Linked DNA regions of Drosophila melanogaster. The protein of the gene in region 3 interacts with the protein of the main gene of each other region in a pairwise test. Each region holds a gene or a part of one and is shown on either strand. Other genes may lie near its edges.

What was found.
Region 1: the proteins of ics (region 3) and CG9173 interact in a two-hybrid assay, tested with the Drosophila melanogaster proteins (one large-scale study listed by BioGRID).
Region 2: the proteins of ics (region 3) and CG14607 interact in a two-hybrid assay, tested with the Drosophila melanogaster proteins (one large-scale study listed by BioGRID).

Annotation. Positions count from the first base shown.
Region 1 is NT_037436.4:1,419,323-1,426,956, forward strand, and holds CG9173 (uncharacterized protein), read right to left. Parts: upstream 4,150-7,634; 5' UTR 4,041-4,149; coding exon 2,739-4,040; 3' UTR 1,877-2,738; downstream 1-1,876.
Region 2 is NT_033777.3:7,238,960-7,246,526, reverse strand, and holds CG14607 (uncharacterized protein), read right to left. Parts: upstream 4,768-7,567; 5' UTR 4,667-4,767; coding exon 4,624-4,666; intron 3,900-4,623; coding exon 3,853-3,899; intron 3,802-3,852; coding exon 2,686-3,801; 3' UTR 2,521-2,685; downstream 1-2,520. Other genes in the region: Noc3 (nucleolar complex protein 3), read left to right, coding at 1-1,317, 1,376-1,999, 2,056-2,278; thw (thawb), read right to left, coding at 5,840-7,567.
Region 3 is NT_033779.5:13,637,375-13,645,909, forward strand, and holds ics (icarus), read right to left. Parts: upstream 5,229-8,535; 5' UTR 4,646-5,228; intron 3,899-4,645; exon of another isoform or gene 3,897-3,898; 5' UTR 3,875-3,896; coding exon 3,736-3,874; intron 3,108-3,735; coding exon 2,486-3,107; intron 2,423-2,485; coding exon 2,332-2,422; 3' UTR 2,073-2,331; downstream 1-2,072.

The DNA.
Region 1 (7,634 bases), on a different chromosome or scaffold from region 3:
TATCAACTATTACAATATTTTTTGTTTAATTGACAAACAGGTTTATCATTAACATTTTTCTCACTGCTCTTGGCCACGGACTCCAACTGCTCGGATGCGTTGGCGGCGGCCTTCTCCACATTTATTTCGGCGTTTCAGGTGGAAGCGGCGCTTCAGTTGACGTCGCTCCAACTGTTTTCCCACACTGATTTCGGATCACGCTGGACACCGTGAAGCGGCGGAGCAAACTCAACCACAATGGGATGATGTGAGAAGTGTACTAACTGATCAATAAATAGGAAGTTCGGGCTAAGAGGCTTCTCCTATCCATGGGAACCCCAGATGTAATCAATTGTCAACCAGATTTTGGATTACATTTTAAAGACCATGAGTGGGTTTACCTCTTTACCCACTAAAAGTTGAATTAGCGTCATAGCTTCACTTTTAATCACACATCCAGTTTTAACAACTCAATCTCGACAAAGTGTCGCCAAAAGTGCAGCGGATGGAATGGATGGCTTTTTATCACCTTTACCACTTTGATATCTAAATACTTTGAGGGCCTGCTCGGCAGCCTCGTAAACCGCTAAGTGCTACCAAAGTTTTCGGGATTAAAGAGCTTCTGGCCGCTTCGGCTGCCGTCTGGATTGTTTGCTTTTGGCGCTGCCGTGAAAATGCATTTTCCACCCCCCTTCGACCATCGCTTTCCCAACTCCCGGCTCCGTGTGCCCGTTTTCTCACCTGAGGCCAAGTCTGCAGCTGCCGTGTCGATGCTCGTTTTAATTTGTTTGTTTACATTTTCGGCTGCCCCCCCCACCTGCAGCCGCGGCGAAGTTTGTTCCCATCCCGCGGCTGGGCGAAATGTTTGGAAATAGAGGTCGGTCCATGGGGATTGGGTATCGGTGGGAGTAGGCTGCACCACTGGGAGCTGGGCGTGTGTTTTGGTGTTAACAACTCGACACTTCATTAATTGAAGTTGAAAAAGAGCAGCTATAAAAAGACCATTAAGCTTCAGGCCCACAACAATGCAGCAGATAGATGCCGCATGTACACACAAAGAAATTTTGTAAAGTTCTAATGCTTGCCTTGGGCATCTGATAAACTTATGTTTTATCTTTTCATATATATAAACTTCAAATGCATTTTCCGAGTGCAAATGATTTTCGAACTATCAAAGTGAACTTCGAGTGGCTGCAGTGCGCATTGAATGCAGGGATATAACAAATTGAAAGACGATGGCGGGAAACTTTCCGAGTCTCAGTTCGCATTAGACGCAAATTTGATGGCTATTGAAAAGTTCAATGGTTTCGTGCGTCTCTTGAACTGCCTCCACCAAGTTGCCTCCAAGTTTCATCCGAAGCCGAAAAGTGGCACTCAATTGAGTGTGAGAGCTTTGTTTACCACACACATGCCGAAGCAAAAAAAAAAATTTTTTGGAATGGGAAGACAGACATAGACGCATCAAAACTGGGCTAATAGAGAAACTCAATGTGAGCATATCATAATTAGAAATTTGGCAAGACGTGGCATTATCTAGAGATATTCCAATATTTCCAAACATTTAATGGGCATCGCTTAATGGCACAACTCTTGGGCAAGAACCGATCGCGGATCCATCCAAAGATCGCTCCCCCAAGCGATTGGATCGTCGTCACACATAAATAGTTCACGAGCCATCCGAAGGCAGTGGACATAAAAATAAATCTATATGCAAATGTGACTCCAGTTTAACATGCCACAGCGACAGGCAGATGGAGATGCAGGCGGCAATTCGAGGGTGAAGTCTAGGCCTAGCCAAAAATATGTAGGGTAAACACGGGTGATTCGACTACAGGAATGATAATGATAAAAAGTCAAAGTTTTAAATCTAAACCAATAATAAACCATCTATAAAATTAAGATCAATATGTTGCCATTAATAATTATTATATTTATGTAGCTGTTAACATTCGAGTATGCCCCTTTATCTACGAATACCCTATAAAAATAGTTAAATCCCGACAGTCAAGGACTCCTTTCATTGCAGGCCCATCCCAGAATCCCTGGCGCAGAGGCGTCTGCAGTTTAGTGCCTGTCTCTGCGACTTTGAATCTTACAAAATGTGACAAGTTGCGGAATTATTTTTCGCAGAAGATGTTCTTCGACTTGGGTTCTTTTTGCCCATTTAGTTGCAGTTTGGTTTAGTTCGGTTCTGTTCTGTTCTGCGTGCAGATGAGCTGAGATTGATAAGCGGCGAGGAGCGTGAACAGGCCCGAATCCGCGGATCCGCACCATCCTGGTGGTGCAGCTTGGAGGAGCCTCTGTTCCAGCGCGAGATGCAAGTGCTTAGATAAAGGCAGCGATTTATGTGGAAGCTCCTGGGAGCTGCTGGGCGGAGCAGCCGGCGATGACAACAGTAGCTCCATCCCATCGAATGCCACGTCCCATTCCGTCCTCCAGCCGCGAATAAGCCGAGGTGCCAGCAATTTAGTGGCGATTACAACCGGCAATGGCATTTTAAGTGGCCATTGTCAAGACGCGATCTGTGGGCGTGTGATAAGCGCCGGCTCCCGTGTGGGCGATCGATTCCCCAGGTGTGGGAGTGGGTGGCCCGGATGGTGGCATGGTGGCATGGTGGCAGCTCGTTGAACCAAACTTGGTAGCAGAGGTGAGAAAACACGTTCTGTACTTAGACTACTTGTTTCTGGCTATTAAGGGTCAACAATAGCTCTCTTTTCATCACTCAATAATTTATATAGCCAAAATTTAAACGTACAAAATTAGTCGTTGCACTTCATACACTTCGGACCAGGAGGATGAATCGTTCGCGGCACATACGATGGATTCCTCTTCTGAGCCACCTCCTCGGCCCACAGTTTGTTGAGATAATCCTCCAGCTTGGCCACAACATCCTCCTCTTTGTCCACGCCGTCGGAACAGGTGGCAAAATCACTGCCCGAAGATGCAGATGAAGAAGTGCTGTGGCAAACATTCGAGGACTCGCTGCAGGAGTCGTGCTTGCAGTCGATGGGACAATGGTGATTGTCCCAGTCCTCTGGGGGTTCCACAGCTTCATCATAGCTGGTATCTTGCTCCTCTTCGCCAAGCGGTTGGGAAACAGGTTGGGAAATGGCCACTGGTTCCTCCAGACGATACCACTTCACCTTGTAGGAGTCTTGGCCGCATTCGCCAAACTGCTCGCCCGTCAACTGATCGATGTTGCATTCGCAGATGAGGAAGGGCGAATTGCACTGCTGGCATCTGGGTAGATTAACCTCATGGTTGATGATCGGACGCGGTGGCTTCTTCATCCTGACCTCCTTATCCATTTGCGGAACTTGCAAGCCACAGATGATGCAGGGTTCTGGTAGATCTGCACCCTCCGACAGCTTGATCTTCATCATTTGCCTTTGGCCGGCCTTGGGATGTCCGGGAACTTCCTGCTTGGAACAGCCCTTGCAAGGACAGCCCGGCACCAGGAGGGGATCCGATCTGGTAGTCATCCGTTGATACAGCGCTGCATAAACCAGATTGATCTGCCTCTCGTAGTGCTTGTGGGCCCAAAAGAAGGCCGCCTTGTAGTTGTCGAAGATCCTGGATGTCTTGTGCGCCGCATGCATCCAAGCAGCATATTGGGTGTGCACCGCCATCGCATCCACTATGGGATTGCTGATCGTCACCGGTGGCTTGCCGTGATAGAAGGCCTTAAAGGCCCGCTTGATGATGGCATAGGTGAGCATCGCCTCCACCGGTTCCATTTCGCACTTCAGTCGCAGAGCCTGGAGCAGGTCCTCCCGATTCAAGCGACTGTCAGTAGCCGGATTTGGTGGACAATTGGTGCGCAGTCGTTCATGGTAAACGAAAGCCCTCTTAATTATCGACCTGGCAGCGCTGGATTTGCTTGTGCTGATGCCACAGATCAGCATTATCTGCGCCAGGCTCTTGGCTATATCCTCCACATTATCGTCAAACAGTTGGTAGGGATCCAGCTTTCTCCTGCAGTTGCAGCAGCACCGCTTGATTCCCCCAGGAGGAACTCCCGCCTCCTCCTGCAGTTTTCTGGCCCTCTCATAATTGTCCATTGCAATTTGGTTGTTGATGAAGTAAGGAGACAGCAAACGTATCACTTTAAATTTCACTTTTGACAAAACACAAAAATTGTAGATGCTATACACAGATTTCTGATGGACCATATAGTCGCAGACTACTGTATCGAATTCTTTGGCTATTCCATGAAAAGAAAGCTCATAAACTAACCAATACAAAAGTATTGTCAACCTATCTGGCATCCATAAACCTACCAATTTGTGAGCAAACTTGACACACAATTTGATTTGAATGCACAATCTTCGATGAAGAATGCACTTCCCATTTCGATTGGAACTAATGCCATGGCTAAGTTTACCATAATAGAACAATAATCGGTTTGTCCCAATATTTTCCCTAGCCTGTTTTAATTTGGTTATCTGACCCACTGGTGGCCCTATCTAGGATTACACACAGACCCCACACAAGAATGCATTATTTTATCTCGGGACTCGGGTCTCGGTTCTGATCGTAGCTGCAATTATGCTAAATAGATTCGAGCCGACTGACCATCGAAATAAATAAGCGCAAAGAACACGACAGAGCCAAACGATGGCTGTTGTGTCAGACCTAAATTGTTCAAATAAATTAAGTTGTAGCTTTCGAATGGATTGGGGGGATTTGGGAATTGGAGATCGGTGTCTTTGGTGTGGGGATTGGGGCAAGCAAATACGGGAACGTAAACGTTCAGAGGCCGCCGCCTGTTGCATTGTCATTTGATAAATTATGATATTTGATCAATTGTTCCGCTGCGGTGGCTGGAAGTGCTGCTGCCTCGGATATGTGGAGAAGAAGTACGTGGATGAGATGAAGACGTCTCCGCATCCATGCCCGCATCAAGTCCACCGAATGAACTTTTGTTGGGTTTACATTGTAATGGCATCTGGCGGGGCAAACACACAAACACCCAGTCAGTTAGGCAGTCGGATGGTTAGTCCCATATCCATCCATTCATCTGCATAATAGAATTTCCAGGGGTATGAGCATTGGGGATTTCGAAAGGGGGTGAGGCTGCCTCTTTATTGTGGCTAATAGGCCTCTTGGCCGCTTTGTTGTTGTGCCGCCTCAGCCGCCTTCGTTTGCATTCGCTTTGGTCACCATCACCTCACCATCTCCATCTCCATCTGTACCAGCTCACCATCAACATCTCACTCTGCCATTGGCATTTCTATGTGGATTAATGAATGGCAGCAGCTCCAAGATGGGTAGGAATAAGCTGAAGATGAAGTCACACTGGGAAAAATCGTATTCTATTCTCTTACAATATCACATCCTTGAGATATAAACTTGATTTTAGTTGTAAGAAGCAATCTAGCTATAGATTTCGTATTTTGCTCGTACTACTTATAAATGTACTTAAATCATCGACACTTGCATATATATTTTTTTTTTTTTGCTGTGCCTCAAAGTAGACATGTGTTTACCTTCCACATAGACACACACACACACACACACACATCCATTGTCCCGCGTATTTCGCACGTCTTTTTGCTGCGCTGCGCGAATTTCGTCATATACGAGTCCGGTCAGCCGTAAACTGCAACATAAACCTGCAAATCCACTCTGGGGTTTGCGCCGCGTTTCTGAGCGTCACGGTGTCGTTCCGGAATTCACGAGTGATCCAGTAAACTGGTAATAAATCAGATCAGCTGCATCAGACAATACAGCTGATAGCATTGCCAACCTTTCGCAGTCGACGAGCTGGTTAGACTGGCGTTGCCAGATCAGCGGTGCGATCGTCATTCGGCCGCGCGCTCGTTGGGCGCGAAATTCGAATTCAAATTCAAATTTGAACTAATTAAGTTGAACAAAAATTTGAAATATAACCTAAGAACTGAAGCTAGTTCTATTTCCCACGGAGCGCTGGGGACCAACAAGCCAAAGTCCCCCTTTTATATCTGATGGACAGAACAGGGGGGGGCAGTGCCCCCGACCCCAACGACCCGTTTAGGAGGAGTGGTAGGCTATCGAGATCCCCTATAAGAGGAGTCGGAACCCAAATCCAGGGAGGGGGAGGTGAGCAAGCAGGCCCCCCGCCGCCGAAAGCTAGCGACTGCAGTGCAGCTGTGGAGGTGGAGACTCTGGCCACTACAGTCTCCACGACAGCCACAAGCCTGAAGACAATGGATTTCATCAGCGTGCCGGCCCAAAGGGCGGGAGCGAAGTCCCCATCAGGATCGCCGCATCGCTCGCCAGAACTGACCACGACGCTCCAGAATGAGGACCTGCAGGGCATCCTGGACATGATGAAAGCCAAGATCACCGCCATTCTATCCTCGTTCGAGACTAGGCGTCACGTAACCAGCGAGGATAGGGGCGTGCTAGTGGACCTATCGGCGCTCAATAAGAGAGCGATTGAGTTACAGGAGGGTATCAACAAGAAGCCCCCACCAAGGAGTACTGCCACACAGACTGAGGCAGAAAAGACAAAGCGTAGCCAGGTGGCGCCACCCAGACAGGCATTACCGAATGTGCAGGTCCGCAAAACGGACAACCATCGATCTGCCGCGAAATCCACCGGGAAGGCGTTACCCACGACGGCTGACTCCAAACCGGAAAGTTATGCGTCTGTCGCCAAGGACGCTAACAAGGACGAGGAATGGGCTAAGGTGAAGCCCAAGCGCCTGCGCAAAAAACCTGAGGCGCTAATCCTGAAAAAAACGGGTGAGGTTACGTACTCGGATATGCTCCGGAAGATGAAAGCAGAACCGAGTCTGACCGAATTCGGCAAGCACGTGCGTAAAATAAGGAGGACGCAACAGGGAGAACTACTTCTTGAATTAGAAGGTAAAGCCTCGGAGGTCATCCCCAGCTTTAAAAATGAGCTAGAAGCGACGCTCAAAGAGATTGCTTCGGTTCGCACGGGCGCGCATAGGACTGCGCTAATCTGCAGCGGACTAGACGAGACAACGACGGCTCAGGACCTTCACAATTCCCTGGTCTCCCAATTTCAGGGCATCCGCCTGGAACCAGAGGATGTAAGAGGCCTTCGCAGGAGGCGTGACGGGACCCAGATAGCCTCTGTGCTAATGTGCGCGAACGATGCCATTGCGGTCATCAACCGGGGCGTTGTAACTGTGGGATGGTCGCGTTGCCGCATAGCCCAAGACGTCCGCCCAATAAGATGCTTCAGATGCCTCGAATTCGGCCACCGAGCTCCCTACTGCAAGTCAGTCGATCGCTCTGACTGCTGCCTACGGTGCGGCGAGCATGGGCATAAGGCAAAGGGCTGCGTAGCCCCACCAAGATGCCTGATCTGCAGCAGTGACGTGGACAAGAACCACGCGACGGGTGGTTTTGCATGCCCCACCTACAAAGCCAACACCAAAGGAGCTAATAGCCGTCAAAATGATGCCAGAAGAAATTAACATCATCCAGCTCAACGTTAACCATTGCGCAGCAGCACAGAACCTCCTGACTCAAACAGCGAAGGAGCGCCATGCGGACGTAGTGCTTTTGAGTGAACCATACCTACCTGGTGTGGGTAACTCAGGAGTGCTACTCGATGAGACAGGCAAGGCGGCCATTAAATGTACATCCAGGTTATTGGTAGAGGAGTGGGATACCGTACCAATGCGCGGCATAGCATA
Region 2 (7,567 bases), on a different chromosome or scaffold from region 3:
CCTGCTCCAGGCTAACAAACGCAAGCGAAAGGCCAAGACGACCGGCGAGAATGATCCTGACCAAGGACAATCCATCGGCTTGGAAAGGGCCTATGCCTCTGACACGAAAAAAGAGCAGGACGCGCAAAAAATAAAGTTGGATTTGCTGCCAATCAAGTCCAGGGATGGTCAGATTATCACCCGTACGACAGAGGTGGATTACATACCTAAGCCCAAGCAGAAAAAGAAGAATGAAGAAGAAGAGGAGGATGATTCCGAGGAAGACGGTGATACGGAGTATGAGGACAGCGATGACGATGTGGTCAATGATGTCGAGGCCGCCACCGCCGCTCCCGTCCAAAAACTTATCTCTACCACGGATCTACTTATTGCCCGGCAGCAGGAGATCGAACGCCAGAAGTATCGCATTGGAATCATTTGTTCCGGGCTGCTCGAAAAGCCAGAGGATAAGATGCGCAACTTTCATGCTCTGTACGAACTCATGGACGAAATCAACCCAGCCAGTCGACAGGCCAACCTAATGGCCGTCAGAAAGCTGGCCATAATCTCTGTCACCGAGATATTCAAAGATATCTTGCCCGAGTATCGAGTGGGTCAGGTCGACACCAAGATGCAGACGCTTCGCAAGGCCACTCTTGATCGTGTAACCTTTGAAAACGCCTTGCTTCAACAGTTTAAAAAGTTCCTGCAGAAACTGGAACAGATCACAGCGCAAGTTAACAGGAGAGGTGGTCTAAGGACGCCTCAGACTGTGAAGTTGGCCACCGTGGCAGTACAGTGCATGTGTGACTTGCTTGTGGCACATCCATACTTTAACTACGTTCAAAACATTGCCCAGCTTCTGGTGTATATGCTGAATTGCAATTATGCAGAGATGCGAACGGCGGTCCATCAGTGCTTCCGCACAGTCTTTTCCAACGACAAACGGTTAGAAATGACTCTTTTTATAGTGCGACGCATCAATCACTTGATCAAAACGAAGCAGAACAATGTTCATGTGGAGTGCATCACCTGTCTGATGGGCCTTAAAATCAAGAACGTAAACCTAGATGCCGAAAAGGAGAATGAGCTAAAGCAAAAGAAGCTTGAGTCGCATCGTCAACGCTTACTAAGCTTGTCCAAGAAAGAGCGCAAAAGACGTAAGAAGCTCACCGAGGTTAACAGAGAACTAGAGGAAACCCGTGCCGAGGAAAACAAGCAAGCAAAGCATCAGAAGCTCACCGAGATCATAAAGATGGTGTTTACCATTTACTTCCGCGTGCTTAAGAACGATCCCACCTCCCGCGTGCTGAGCGCTATTCTAGAAGGATTGGCAGAGTGAGTGGTTATTGTAAATCTCTTTCCTGGAATTTTAAATATAGAGGATGATTTTTAGGTTTGCGCACGTCATTAATTTGGACTTCTTCTCCGATCTAATCGATGTGCTCAACCGCATTCTAGAGGACCAAGACGAGCTGGGCTACCGGGAGCGATTGCACTGTGTTCAGACCATATTCGTTATCCTTTCCGGCCAGGGTGAGGTGCTAAACATCGACCCCATCCGATTCTACCAGCACTTTTACCGAAATATGCTGGCGGTGCAGGCAGGCAAAAATCACGATGACTTCGCCATTATTTTGCGAACTTTGGATGAGGTGCTCGTAAAGCGTCGTCGCAATATGAGCCAGCAGCGTCTAATGGCCTTCATGAAACGCTTGCTTACTGGAAGTCTGCATCTGCTCCATAATGGCACCCTGGCCACGCTTGGCACAATAAAACAAACCTTCCAGCTCACTTCTGTGCTTGACAACCTATTGGATACAGACACTACGATAGGCTCTGGTCGTTACGATCCCGAACTGGACGATCCTGAGTACTGTAACGCAGCAAGCACAGCGCTGTATGAGCTTGCGCTTCTGGCACGTCACTATCATCCCACGGTGCGACGGATGGCCGTTCACATTGCTCATGGAGTGCCAGCAACGGGCGAGGGAGCTTTGCCCACGGAAATTGGCAAACTGTATGTAATAAGACGGCAACTACATATGTGACTCTAACAATTATTACTTTCCTTAGTACCTCCCACGAGCTGTTTACGCAATTCGACAGCACTCAGATGGCTTTCAATCCGACAATACCGCTGCCAAAAGCGGGTCAACCAAAACTAAAAAGGGGCAAACACTTATATATTCGCTCGGACTTCAAACAGGAGTACGGAAAACTGCTGCAGCAAGGAAAAGTTTCACAGACGAAGGATAAACAAACCTTACAAATTGATTTTTTCAGTGCACTTCAATAAAGAAAAATTTGAAGATTGAAGTAGAGTTATAATGACTGCGGAATAGTGTGGAAAGAAATGCAATTTTTAAACAATACCCAACTTGTTTCCCAATATTAAACATTCTTCCAAATACGTTCTCAGTTAAAGGAAGAGAATACCAAGTGTGATACCAGGATTTGATTAGCCAGATAATAATCGAACAAATTTGTTGTTAAATCAGAAAGGTGCGAGTTGGTTTTAAAACATGAAACCATTCATTTGCTTAGAACTTCTCTGTAATATATTTCAATTAATGGGATTTTTACAAGTTATTATGTTTGGAGCTCCTAACATTCTATATAGAGGCTAAGTCTAGAGTCACTAAGAGTAGTGTCATATAACCGGGTACAAGTCCCAGGGGTTCGCCAGAATTTTTCATTCGCTACCTATGCATTGGTGCCTCCTCGTTGTCGCTGTTGTCCAACGCTAGCTGGTGGCAGATACTCTCTATTCCCGCCCGACTGCTGTTGCCCGAATCCAGCCACTGAACTCTCGGGAAGAGCTCCGGCGGCAGTGGCCAGAAGCCCGACAGCAGCTCCCGATGGCGGTAATCGATTGGCTCCAGTGCTCGGGACAATGGCGGGACGAAGGACAGCCCCAGCGCCATACGGGCTTTGGGGCTGAGCGGTTGGGGTGGGCGTGGCTGAAGGATAGGACCCCCGGCCGGAGTTATATCCAGCAACCTGAGACACTCCGGTGGCTCGAAGTGTTCCAGTCGTGGCCAGAGGTGCCCCGAAGGCAGCCGAGGAAGAAGCGGCCGGACGGTAGACGTTGTTGGTATTCGATGTTCTCAGATTGGAGCCACTTCTCTCGGAGTAATCATAGATATAGGCATTGTTCGCATATAAGCTGGGCGCCGAAACGCAGTCGTACTGGTTCCACCACACACAGACTAATGTCTCCTGGCTGAAGACTGTGCCATTGGGACACAGGAAGGAGTAGGTCCGGTTGAGGGCACAGATATGGAACACCTGGCATTGGGCCTCTATGTCCGCATAATAGCCGGGTAGGGGCTGTTGCGCACAGTCAAAGTTGGTGCGCGGCACCTGGGCATAAATAGGATAATCCACTCCAGGAACACCCGGAATGGCCGAGTAGTCTCCATCGGAATCGTTGTAGTCCCCGCTGTCTCCCGTTCCACTAGCAACTCGGATTGGAGATCCACCGGGAGTACCTCCATACTGCGAAGCCTGCGGTCCATAGGGTCCACTGCGAGATGATGGGGTAGATAATCCGCCAGATGAAGTTCTTCTCGGTGGGTTAACGGGGTTTGTGGCTCCTACAATGGCGGGTGCTCCAAAAGCAGTGGTAGCCTGTCCACTTGGCGTAAATCCAACAGCGGGTGAGGGAAACAAGCCTGCTCCATATGCAGTAGGAGCCGGAGCGGGAGTAAGTGGCAGGGCTGGTGCTGTTGGATATGGTGCAGGTGTCAAGCGACCACCAGCTGTGGCTCCTCCTACATTGGCTACCTCGGGACGCCCATAGTTGTATCCACTTTGAGCCTATAAAAGCGCGGATTACAGTTAAGAAAAGAGAATCTCCTTATAGCTTACCTGGACTTGCAACTGGGCTAATCCGCCACTCCAGAGCAACACCAAAACTGGAATAAAGAGACGGGCCAACATTAACGCTTTCTAACCGTCCGTGGAATCTGGCGAAGATCTGCTCCGAGCTGTGGAACTGGCGACGCACCAAATCGAAATGAACGCCCTGGCAGCCATCGATGGCGATGGCAGCGAAGAGTTTCGCAGCCCCTATTAAGGCCAAGTACGTTGTGATTCTGGGAGCTGATAGCGCGGCTTAGATGGTTCTGCACCGCGATCTTTATTTTTCAGCTTCCTACTCCTACATCGGGGGCACAGTGGTCAAAAGCTTCACTATTGCATTTACAGACAATCGGGGCATTTATCAAATTAACTATACTTTAAGCATACAAACTAGAAACAATTTTTTTCGAAAATGTTTAGTGCACAATTGTAAATGCTGTTGCTTGATTCATTTAGAAGATTCAATATGTTTCTTAATTTTATATTTTGGTTAATCTCTTCATTGTGAATTGAGTTGCATACACTGTGCCAGTTGCTGAAATAACGCACTGCAACATCAATTGGCTTGCAAGAATTGCGGCAGCCGGTGGGCCAAAGGCAAGACGCATGCCTCGTAAATATGCAAGGCAGCAAAAACTTAGACAGACAGACGCCCCTACAAAGGAAGTGCTAATAGTGATCGGAATGATGGGCCGTACAGCCGATCGCTCGTCACTGTTGAGTTACGCGCCGCAGTGGGTTGGGTCTGGGTCAGCGCCGACTGGTTGGCCAACTCACCTGCCAAGACGCACGAACAGCGTTGCAGGGGCACTTGCATCATGCAGCAGGAGATTCCGAGCGGACGAGCTTATCCGAGTCTAATATTCGGCTTATCCTTTTCGACCGGCGACCTGTGAACTGTCCAAAACTTGGGAAGTTACTGCGGGCAAGCTCAGAACGATCTTAGAAATATATACGAATTTGAAAGCGCGACTTGGATGCGGCATCTTTACCATATTTATGTGGCAGCTGCCCCAAAGACCAACGACAGTTCGTCAGTTAGTGTGTGCTGCTTGCGCTTTGGCAGATTTACGACGCTGGATTATCCATTGTTCGGGGACTGCGGCCAGTTATCAGAATTCATATATCAGCGAGACCCTACATGACGTATACGTAATATAAGTTACGTATACGTTGATCAATTCAATATAATAGCCATTTCAAGTGCAATGTAATTGCAATCTGATTCTACTTGTCCTTGCGAGTGGGAAATTCGATTTTCTTGCAAATGCATTCAACAGCTATGGTAAAAATATTTAAATTTCGACTGATTACATGATCGGCCTGACCTTACCAAAGATTTATATTAGAGCTGGAAAACGCAAAAGCCAATGGATTTATGTCAAGGCGATCGCAGAGTCTCTGTTGGGCTGTTGGGATTAACCAAGCAGACTTATTGAGAGGCCAGCTAAGTGGCAGTAGTAATAGTTTAATCAGTTAGCTGGCCAATAACCATTCATCACCCATCTCCAAAGTATTACGCTTATCTTTTCATTTATTTTTATATGTACTTTATTAAGTTTAAATAAATATTTACAAACAGACATCAAGACGTACAGATGGTTCAAATAGATCGCTCCTACTGGATACTCTGGTTGGAAAGTGTTCTCGTTCGTTAAGACTAAGCAGTAAGAAACTAATTTAATACAACTCTCGATTAAACTTAAACGGAAACTGCTTGGCTGGGCATCAGGAACAACCAAGTCTATGCCTGTTTTGGGCGTGGGAGTATTTCAGGGCTCTCATCGTCGAGTATTTCGATTACATATTTACAAACTAATTGCGCAATTGCATTGGCTAAACGAAGTCGATTAACAAGTAACTGGTTCAGAATCCAAATAGTTATAGGATGTTTTAGATTAAAGAAATTCAAACTGAATTGAAGAGGGGGAAGTGGAGTTGACTAAAGTTAGGCATTAACTCGCAAGGTCTAGGAACCGCCACCGTCCTCGCTCTATCGCCTGCTGCTGAACTTGGACGCCAGCGAATATAATGACTTGAGCAGCTCCAGGGCCCTGCGGTCCGAGTTGACCTCCAGTAGAGGGGCCGTCGTCGTCGTGGCCTCCTCCAGATCCTCGACGCGTATCTCGAACTTGGTGGTCTCCTCGTAGCTGCCTGCCCCCAACCCTGTCGTGGTGGGCAGATCCGTGGTTGTCGTATAGCCAGGCGTGGTACTGGTGAAGTATTCGGCTGCGGCGGCGCCACCACGTCGGAATGTGGTCACTGGGATGCGGTTGGTGGTGGTGGTCAATCTCTGCCTGGAGGTCTTGCCTCCAGCATGTGTTTTGCTATCAATATCGATTAGTGCGTTTAGCAGGTGCTTACGGCTCCTTTCCAGCGCCTTGCCATTGTGGTCATCGCAGGTCTGGATGAGCAGCAGCAGCAGACTTAGTACCTGGCGATCGTGCTCCGCTTTTGCCATGACGTTGCGCAGGTGCAGTGCCTCCTGTTCGTTGAGGCCACCGAACAACTTATTGGCAATCCTCTGCAGCCCACTACTGGAAGGCAGTGCGTCCCTGGGAATGTCGTAGCTACGGAAGATGTCCTCCCACTCGTAGCGAGATGGCGTGGGTGTGGTCACCCTGTAGGCAAATGGTGATGCTGTTGTAGAGGTGGAGGTTGTGGAACTGCTAGTGGAAGTTCTTTGCTCCTTCATCAGACCATCGTTGATGGTTAGGGGATCGAGGAAGTCCGTTTGCGACTTGAGTGCCCACGGATGCTCAGTGGGCTTGTGGGTCGTAACTAGCTTTTGAGGTCTAGCATCCTTGAGCAGATCGTTGCGAGACTTTACAAACGATTGCGTTTGCTGTTGCTGCAGAAACTCCTCTCCGGAATCCTGACTTGGCGGCGAAAGCTCCCCAGAGAACTCAAGGCCGCGATTCGTGCTACCTTCGTACAGCTCAGTGGTGGTGGAGAACTCTGGGGCCAGAGTAGAATCGAATTTATGGTTTATTTCCGCTGCAATGCTGTTCGGTGTGGGGGTGGTCGCGTCCGGCAATCCCTTGGTGGGCAGATAATACTTGGCAGTTCCATCACTGAAGAGCGACGGATCCGTTGTGGTCACGGGCTTAAAGTTGGGAGTACTTGGTGGCTCCGTAGGGCGAGCTCGGGCAGCCAGTTCCGCACGGAAAGTAGCTGGGTTATCAAGATAGCTGGACAAAGCGTTGGAGAAGATTTGAGCGATCTTTCGAGTTTCGGGTTTCTCCGCCAGTGCGCCAATGGTGGATCCAGTGCTGCCTATCTGCGGGTACTGCTGGTATTTCGATCCCGCTTCTGATTGGGTTCCGTTGGTCTGATTAGAGAGTAAGCCCGAACTAATATCCGACTCGCCAGCACCACGACCTTGGGCCGACTTCAGTCCAAACAGATTGCTGTACTTCTTCACGGTAGTATCACTCAGAAGACTCTTCTTGATATCGTCCGCATTGTCACTAATGGCTGGAGGATTCTCCGAGGTGGTTAGTAGAGCAGTGGTGTCCGATGGCTTGATAGTTGGAAGTGGTGGCTTCACGGATAGCTTGGTTTGAACACCAGTTTTGTCTACCTTCTCCGACTTATCCTTCTTACTCAGGGAATTAATAGTTTCATTGTGCTCTTGTGCAAAGTATTTGGCAAATGAAACCAGGGCATCTGGACCGGAGGAAGGTGGAATCTCTAGGCCAACTCTAGCGGGAGCTGCCGC
Region 3 (8,535 bases):
AGCAGCAGCATCAGCAGCAACTGGAGCCGCAGCAGCAGCACGCCTATGCCGATGCTTATGCGGCCTTGGGACGGGGCCAGTATGAGTCCACCACGCGGGCGCCCAACAACAGCAAGGTTTGACAGCCAAAAGTAGCAATGGAGCGCCACAAAAGGCCAAAGGCTAAGCGACTCAAGCAGCAGAAGGAGCCGCATACACAGCAAACAACAACACAGCAACAAAAGCAAAAACAACATAAATCAAATGAACTCAAATTAAATGTAAATGTAATTTTTATGCTAATTATTTTTATTTAAACAGTGTTTGTATGCCACAAGGGAAAACAGCCAGCAACAAAAAGAAAAATACAAAAATAACACAAAAAAGGAGAAAAATTTCGTAATACAGAAAAAGCTGAAAGTGAATGATATTTTTGATTAACTAAATTAAAATGAAAATACGAATGCAAATTATGAATAATAAAAGTAATTAAAAACGACAACATGCATAATACATATAAAGTTGCAAGTTGCATATATATACATTTGTATGTATATATTTATTATGGATACACAATTATTAAATAGCAGCAGCCACAACAAACAAGTAATATACATGAAGAAAAACTAAGGTTTAATTGTATGAGAAAGCATTCTATATGTCGGTGAGATTTCTAAGCGCTAGGCCGAAATACAAAATTAATTACACACTTGAATAACAAAATGTGTTTTGTACAAAAAAAATGAAATAAACAAAAACAGTGCGAATTAATTAAGCGTCATTATAAAAAAAAGAACGGAAACAACAAAGCATTTAAATTGTATTTATCTGTACCGAAGGCTAAACGTTTATTTAAAGCCGTCAAAATTGCATTTGTAAACTAGCAAAACAAAAAAAAAACGATGAAAACCAAAAAGTATGAAATCCATAATTATTAAATAAAGAAGCGAGACTTAAACAAAAACGGTGGAAACAATCCAAACTTATTCATTTGTTGCTGAACGCATTTTTCTGTATGACTTTCGAACGTGGCTTTGATTGTTTTCCGTATACATTTTCCTTGTGCAGAAAAAGCAAACGAAGTAACTAATTTTTATATTTCATGTATTTTTACTATCTTAGGTACAATTTTCTATTGTCAATTTTTATTAGTATTAGGTTTAAAGCTTTATGTTTTAGCAATCTGGTAGCAAAACTGCCAATGATGATTATGTTTAATGTTATCTATCATATACGTGTATATCTGCCAACATATAAATCTATTTTTATGTAAGTATCTTAAAGTGCATAGATCATGCATATATGATACTATCGAGTGCTTGTAATTTGCTTTGTTGTAGTCTCATAGGTTACTAGTTTATGTTTTTTGTTTTTGTCTGTGTTTCGTATTTGCATGCTCAAGAACTAATCGTGCAACTACTCACGGAGTCCCGACTGATGTACTACTCCAAGAAAAGACATTTATAGCTTGAAAGCTATATGATATTATTTTTGAAACCCTTGTCTTCGTTTCCATTCGCACATCCAACTTGTATATCGTGACGCATAGCTATGGAATTATCTCAATTCGAATTTACAAGACGTTTCCGTGCTATCATTTTGGAGAAATTTACTGAATAAATGAATTTACATTTTTGTTTGTTTTTCTGCCAGACTTTTCGTAAAAGAACATCTTTAACTCTTGTAAATAAACTCTATAAAAAATATATAAATATAAATACTAAAATATACTTTAAGGAATAAATTAAATTTGAATTGCAGATACAGTGAAGGCGAAATACGTTTACAAAATAATTAAATAACATAAATTGATAAAAAAAAAATGTATTCAATTCAAATTGACAAGTGAAAAAATGCAAAGAAACGAAACAAACTCAAAGCGAACAAAGCAGAACTATGCTTTTAGTTTTTCTCAAACATAGAAAACAAAGAACAAAAACAAAAAACATTTAACTATTAATTTAATTAAAATAAATAAAGAATTAATTAATTGACTTTAAGTAAACTAATTAATTATGATTATGAACAAATTTCTTAAAAAAGAAGAATGAATATGAGAAAAGATAATAAAAACAAGAAAAACCTACTATTTTATAAAATATACAAGCGTGTCTTTATTTAACGATTCTTTTGCGCATAGGATCCGAAATTAAACCAGCAGGAATACATATATGCATCTATTATTTTGTTTTATTTTCATTAGTGAAACTAAGGGTCAAGGCACATTGCAGAAATACGCATTAGTTTAAAAGTACTTATAAATTAGTATACGAAAACGGGTTTGGTTAACAACGAACGAGACGAACACATTTGTAATTCCATGGGATCTTGGGATCTTCTGGTGGAGAATCACTATGCGCGAATTCGAGAGGCCTTCTTGCTTTTGTCAGCTTTGGGTGGCGGCGGTCCACTGCGTCCTGCTTGCAAGTGGCGGTTGTAGATGCTGTCAAGGAAAAGGATCAGATGAATATACATTTATGGATATATGGATCTATGGTGCACTCACATCTTATAGGTCTCCGTTTTGAGGTAGTCGATGACGTGACTAATGCCCAGCAGATATTGCTCGGCGATGGGATTGACCCAGGGATTCTCCTCCATCTTCATGACCGACTTGTTGCTCAGTAGGTCCAACTGGGCGATCTCTGGTGGCAGCACCTGCAGCCTATTGTTTTGAATATGTAGCTCCCGCAGTCGCACCAAATCCCCAACTTCGCGGGGCAATTCCAGAAGATCGTTGTCACGCAATCCGAGTATCTGCAGATTCTTCAGCTGACCCACCTCCTTCGGTATATACTCGAAGTCATTGTCGCCCAGATACAGAGCACGCAGTGTCTCCATACCAAAGAAATTACCAGGCAGGACCTGTTCGTTGAGATTGTTGTAGGACAGGTCGAGCACTTCCAGCACCGGAAAGGCTCCAAAGCCGCGAGGAAGATTTATCAGCCGATTGATGGACACATTGAGGATGCGTAGCTTTGGCATGGACGACAGCGAAACGGGCAGTTCGGTCAGCTGGTTGTTCGAGAGGTTCAGGATCTCCAGATTCAGTAGGTTCGCGATTCCCGGACTGATTACGCTGATCTTGTTGTGGGACAGGGTCAAGCGCGTGATGTTGGACATGTTGACTGCAAAAAAAATTATATTAATAAGAATACTAAACTCTTTAAAATACATATTTTTCCTTTTTCGTGATATCAAAGATTGTTTTTCATAATTGTCCAATGCACTGTGAATTCACCACTGGGTTTAAATGCAAACAGCTGATTGCAGGCAACAAGTATAGACGCCGAATGTTGGAGCGGGACAACAATATAAGCAGAGGCATGCGCAATGTTTTTTTTTTCTCAAAAATTTAATGGTTTTAAGATTAATAATTGTAGTATATTCTAATTTTATGTAAATGAAGTCATAGTTATGGAGTTGTAGTACATTTCCCAGATATGTATACACATCTTATTTGCGGTATTTACAGTGTTTGTTTACGTTCTCTACACTCAAACTTATGCATATTTTGCTGCTGGCGTCATCACAATAAATAAAACTAAGCGACTCCATTTAAAAAGATGCTTAGACTCATTTTAAATGAATATTATTACCACAACATAAATACATACGCTAGAATATTATTAATTTACAATTTTTTTAGCAGCTGGGCGAGGCTCCATTCTGCGTGGAAGTAACCCACCATTATGTTTACTCAGAAGTGCAAAAATCCGTATAATTCCTTCAAGATCCTTTGGTTTTGATACTTACACAGTCCGGGCAACTCCTCGAAGGACGACAGCCCCTTGTCGGCCAAATCCAACTCGGGATTGTGAGTTTCTCGGGCTTCATCCAAAACCTTCTTTGCCTTCGACATCTTTGCGCTCACTGGTATACAAGACTGACTCATTTTCGTTGATTCCTAATACGCCCTAAAAAATACCAGAACAAAATATACATTTCTAATTAATTATTTTGAAGGTTAGTCAATAAATTTTTATTTCTAAAAGCAGAATAGTAAAAGAATTTGGCAAACTAATTCTATGCTTTTTTAAATTTTGTAAGCAATTTTTTTGTAATGTGAGCTATTATATCTGTTATATGTATTTCAGGGCTGCCAGACAAGTAGAAATATGTAATTTTACATCGACAGGAAGCAATGTAAGATATTGTAAATGACTTAATCGAATAATAAGTATTGAGCTCATTTATTAAATAATATTTATATTTATATTATTTAAAAAAAAAGATGTTCATTATTCATTTGTATCTACTTATATATGAATGTGAAATCAAAGCTCACCAAACAATTGTTGATAAAAAGGTACCAACATAAATTTTACGCGCGTTCGATGTATGTTATCATATCTACATGTAGAAAGTGTGTTTACTTGTGATTGGTAAAAACTTAATTGTAACGTGTTTTATTTATTGAATTTATAATAACATGCATTCTTTAATAATATTGATATAATTTTGTTTATTTTTACTTTGCTCGATTAATGAAATATTCAAATGTCTTAAAGGACTTAACATTATTATTATGTATTATGTTAAATTATGTATTAATTTATGTATTAAATTAAAATATAAAATATTGTTGTAAAATGTATTTATTTTTATTTTTATATATTTTTCGTGTAGTTGGTCTAAAACTAAGTAATGAACCACAATTACTTACAGAGTAATTCTAAAACTGTTTTGGCAGCCACTTTCAGTAGCTCTCAAACTGCGCCAACTGCACTTTTTGTTAGCATATGTTTTTCTTCGGTCAGTTTTCAGCACTTTTCATCCACATGAAAACGAATTTAAACGTTTTTTAGGTCACTATGTTACACAAACACTGCACTTGACCTATTTTTGTAGGAAAACACCAAGGCTTTTCATACTGTATGCGTAAAATTGTTGAGTATCTGGACGAATTCGTACTGATTTCTGCAGATTATATGGCACTCACGTTACAGAATGGAACATGGGTTCCTATTAGAATACGTCTCCGCTCTTCGAAATTAATCACGAAAATAGACCCAAAGTGCGGAATGCGTCGTGCGTCGTCCGATCGTCTCGAGAAACTGAGAAGATCTCTCGCAGCGTCAGCAAGATCGATCGATGTGGATGTGGGCGAGTTGGAGGTGATGGGGGATCCGAATAATAGCTGGGGGCTGGTTTTTGCCTTTTTCGATTGTCGCCACTGCCGGCAGACAGGAAAAAATAAAAAACAAATCGAACCCAAACTCAATACCGGGTTTTGTTGATTTTGTTTAAAGTATTTCGCTTTTTCTCCAGCATCTTCACTACAGTGTCGAAACCAGTTTGAATTATATCGAAAAGACAAAAAACAGGCATAACTAAAGCATGAAATCTGTGGTTTGTCGACTTGGAAATAGGCGCTTTGTTGATTAGTTAATTACACAGTTGATTAATATCTTAAATGCAGCCATCTCGTTGACGCATATAAGATTTTAATATGATTTATCACATCTCCATGTGAAGTGAGACATCATGACTTTTTTCGCTATATTTTACGTTCTTGCCTTACTTCTGCTGCTCACACCATATACACATGAAAGTAAACTTCGATATATTAGTGAGTAAGGACACGACTTGGGATAGTAAATATAAAGCTAACCGTTGTAATAAGCTTGCAGGCGCAAAAGTGGAAAGTGGGGACGTTGCATTATAAAACAATCGCCATGTCCTGGCATTACCCATTTAAATCGCGTTTGCAATTCGGCAGCCATTTGCTGTGTGCCTGAATCTCAAAAAGTCTGGGACAATATAAGCTATTTTAAGCGCTTAGAACCGAAAGAAAACAATATAGAAACAGTAATAATAAAGTAAGTCTGTTTCTTATTACTTAGCCACTTAAGAATTTTATACCGTTATAAACTGAAAACTGCAGTGCAATAAGAAATGAGCTTAGAGCACATTTAATAAAATATCAATTCAATATAGTCATGTTGGCTTTTACCCTTTTTAATGCATTTTAGTTTAATTTTCTTTTCTTTTTTAATAGTTTTTATTAGAACTGCAAGCTGAGACATTTCTTCAATTTTATCTATTTGATGGATGCTAGATGCAAATTTTGAAGGGACTCAGATTTCTGGGCTGCAAACATGGCCGATATGATCTCCTTCAGTACAAGCTGCTCGGGGTTTTTCTGCTCTGGCCATTGGCTGTATTTTTAATTACTCTGCGGTGCTCCAGTTGCCGATGCAGTTTTGGATCTCAGAAATACGTAGGAACTAGATGTTTGTGTGGGTGGGGGGGCAACCCCGTTTTTTGGCTTTCGTATTAATTTTCATCCCGCCGGTTGTCGAATCCGCAAAACAGAAAGTTTGTCTTATGCGCCTGCATAATTTGCGTGTTGCACATACCATTTTTTTCGCTTTTTTTTTTTTTTTTTTGGGTTGGGGTAGTTGGCATGATGGCGAGTGCCTTTGCCGTATACACTTCCGCCGTATAAAATATGCAAAACAATGCAAACTCTCGCCTGGCCAGCAAACAACAACAACAACAAGAACAACAGCAACAGCAATGGGAGGGAAATAAAAACTTTCCCTGGCCCAAAAATTAATTTTTGTTTTAGATGGCGCGCAGATTTTTCGGCTGCATTTTTGGCTGCACTGCTAATGCTGCGGCACAGTCGCCACCAAACGACCGCCGGCCACTGTCCGTAATTTTTGTTTTAATTAACTTTTTGTTTGCCTTTTTTTCCTGCTGACAAACTTTTGCAGCTCGGCGCAAATTGTGCTAATTTTGAAATGGTGGCCAAAATGTTTGGAAATACATAGTTTATGCTCAGTTCCACTCATATTAATATATGATTGCAATTAAGGCATTGTATTGTATTGTGTAGCAAAATCAAAGCCTGAGAAGTGTCCTTTGTTAGGTAATCGATTCTTTCATAAAATTATATTGAACTTTGCAGTTCGATTTTCTATGTAAAATTCTAACCGCAATAGCGACCAAAAACCATAAATTCTTCATTGCCAAGCTCGCTTAAATTCCAAATTGGACATTTGGCGGCCATAAATTCGCATTAAGTGTTTACTTCGTTTAAATGTTATCCATGCCAATGTGCGAATGTGCGTAGGAGCGGCAAATAATCGATCCGGATTCTAGTTAATTGATGGCACTTGCCTGCCCTCACTAATTTGTGTCCCTTTCTCACGGAATTGAACGACCACAGTTCGAAAGAGTTGTCGGCTGATTGAATAGCTTCAAGTGGGCTTAAAGTGGACCGAATAATTCGATCCGACTGTTGGCAACAGAAATATAACATCCTCTCTTATGGAGCTGTCAGCACACGGACATGGGCGCATACTTTTGGCCGGCAGTGTCCGGCCGTTGGGCGCTTACTATATTCCTGGCAATTTTTCAATGCGCTTTGTTTGGCCAGTTCCAAGGCAACTGGCATAAAGCCCGATAGCGAAAGGACCTGCCAGGACATGGCAATCATTGGCAACGGTTGCTTTGCAGCCTCAATGAGGCTTCGACCACAGAATGTGCCTTTTGCTTTTGGCCTGCACTTACTTATCCGGCTACCAGGCATCCCCCCGTCTTCCATAACAACCATTTCCCCCCCAGCGCCGTGCCGTTTGATTTACTTCAAACAATTGGCAACATCATACATCAACGCGCTTTTGTTTTTGTTCTGAGCCTTCTTGTTATCCCTTTCCGTTGGGCAAATCCTTCGTCTTTGTAAAAAGGTTTATCGGTTTTTGGACCTCTCGTTTTGTCCAATTTTGTCAGATTTTGATGCATGCTTTACCTTACATTTGAATTGCTTGTTTATCTGAGTATAATTAATACATGTTTACAATTTAAAGCAATTTGCTACATTTGTTAAATATTTGTGCGAAAAAAAGTTATTTAATATGCACACGCATATGATGGGAAAACTAATCCATTTTAATTAAAGTAAATAAAATTGTACTTTCACAGCGATAGTGGTCAGCAGAGCAAACAGAGGGATTATGCAAGCATTACAGAATGAGAAAGAAGCGATGTAAAAAAAGTACACAAACGCAAAAACGAATCAAACGGGAATAATTATTGTAGTTCAGCGGTGGGGCAAGGTTAGATAAACGGATTTAAATTACGCACGTTTTTTTTTTGGTCTTATGTAAAATGCATTATTCATAATTATGAGCACGGCAAATAAATAAAATGTCACATTAATTTGTTGACAATGGCGAATTTATTAGCCGCACACAGGGCTTAAATTGTGTAGCTTACAAAGCTATTAATTAGCCCTGAGCTGGAATGCAGACTGTCAACAAATATTTAGCTGCTCATTAGTTGCGCCCGAAAGCCAAAATTCCGTGTCAGCCCGACCGACTGCATTAAGTATACGCCGCATATGACCGACAGAATCTGCACCTTATTAGGATTCAGATTGAGTAACGCCGCCTCGCCTCGATTCGTCTGAAGTCAGCTTTGGCTCCAGTCTTCCGCAACTCTAGCCGCAGAAGCAAATGGGATAAAAGACACACGGAAAATGGAAAAATGTGCGAGCTGGGGAAAACTACTTGTTATTCAGTGCGTTGAGCTTCGTTTAGCTGGGCG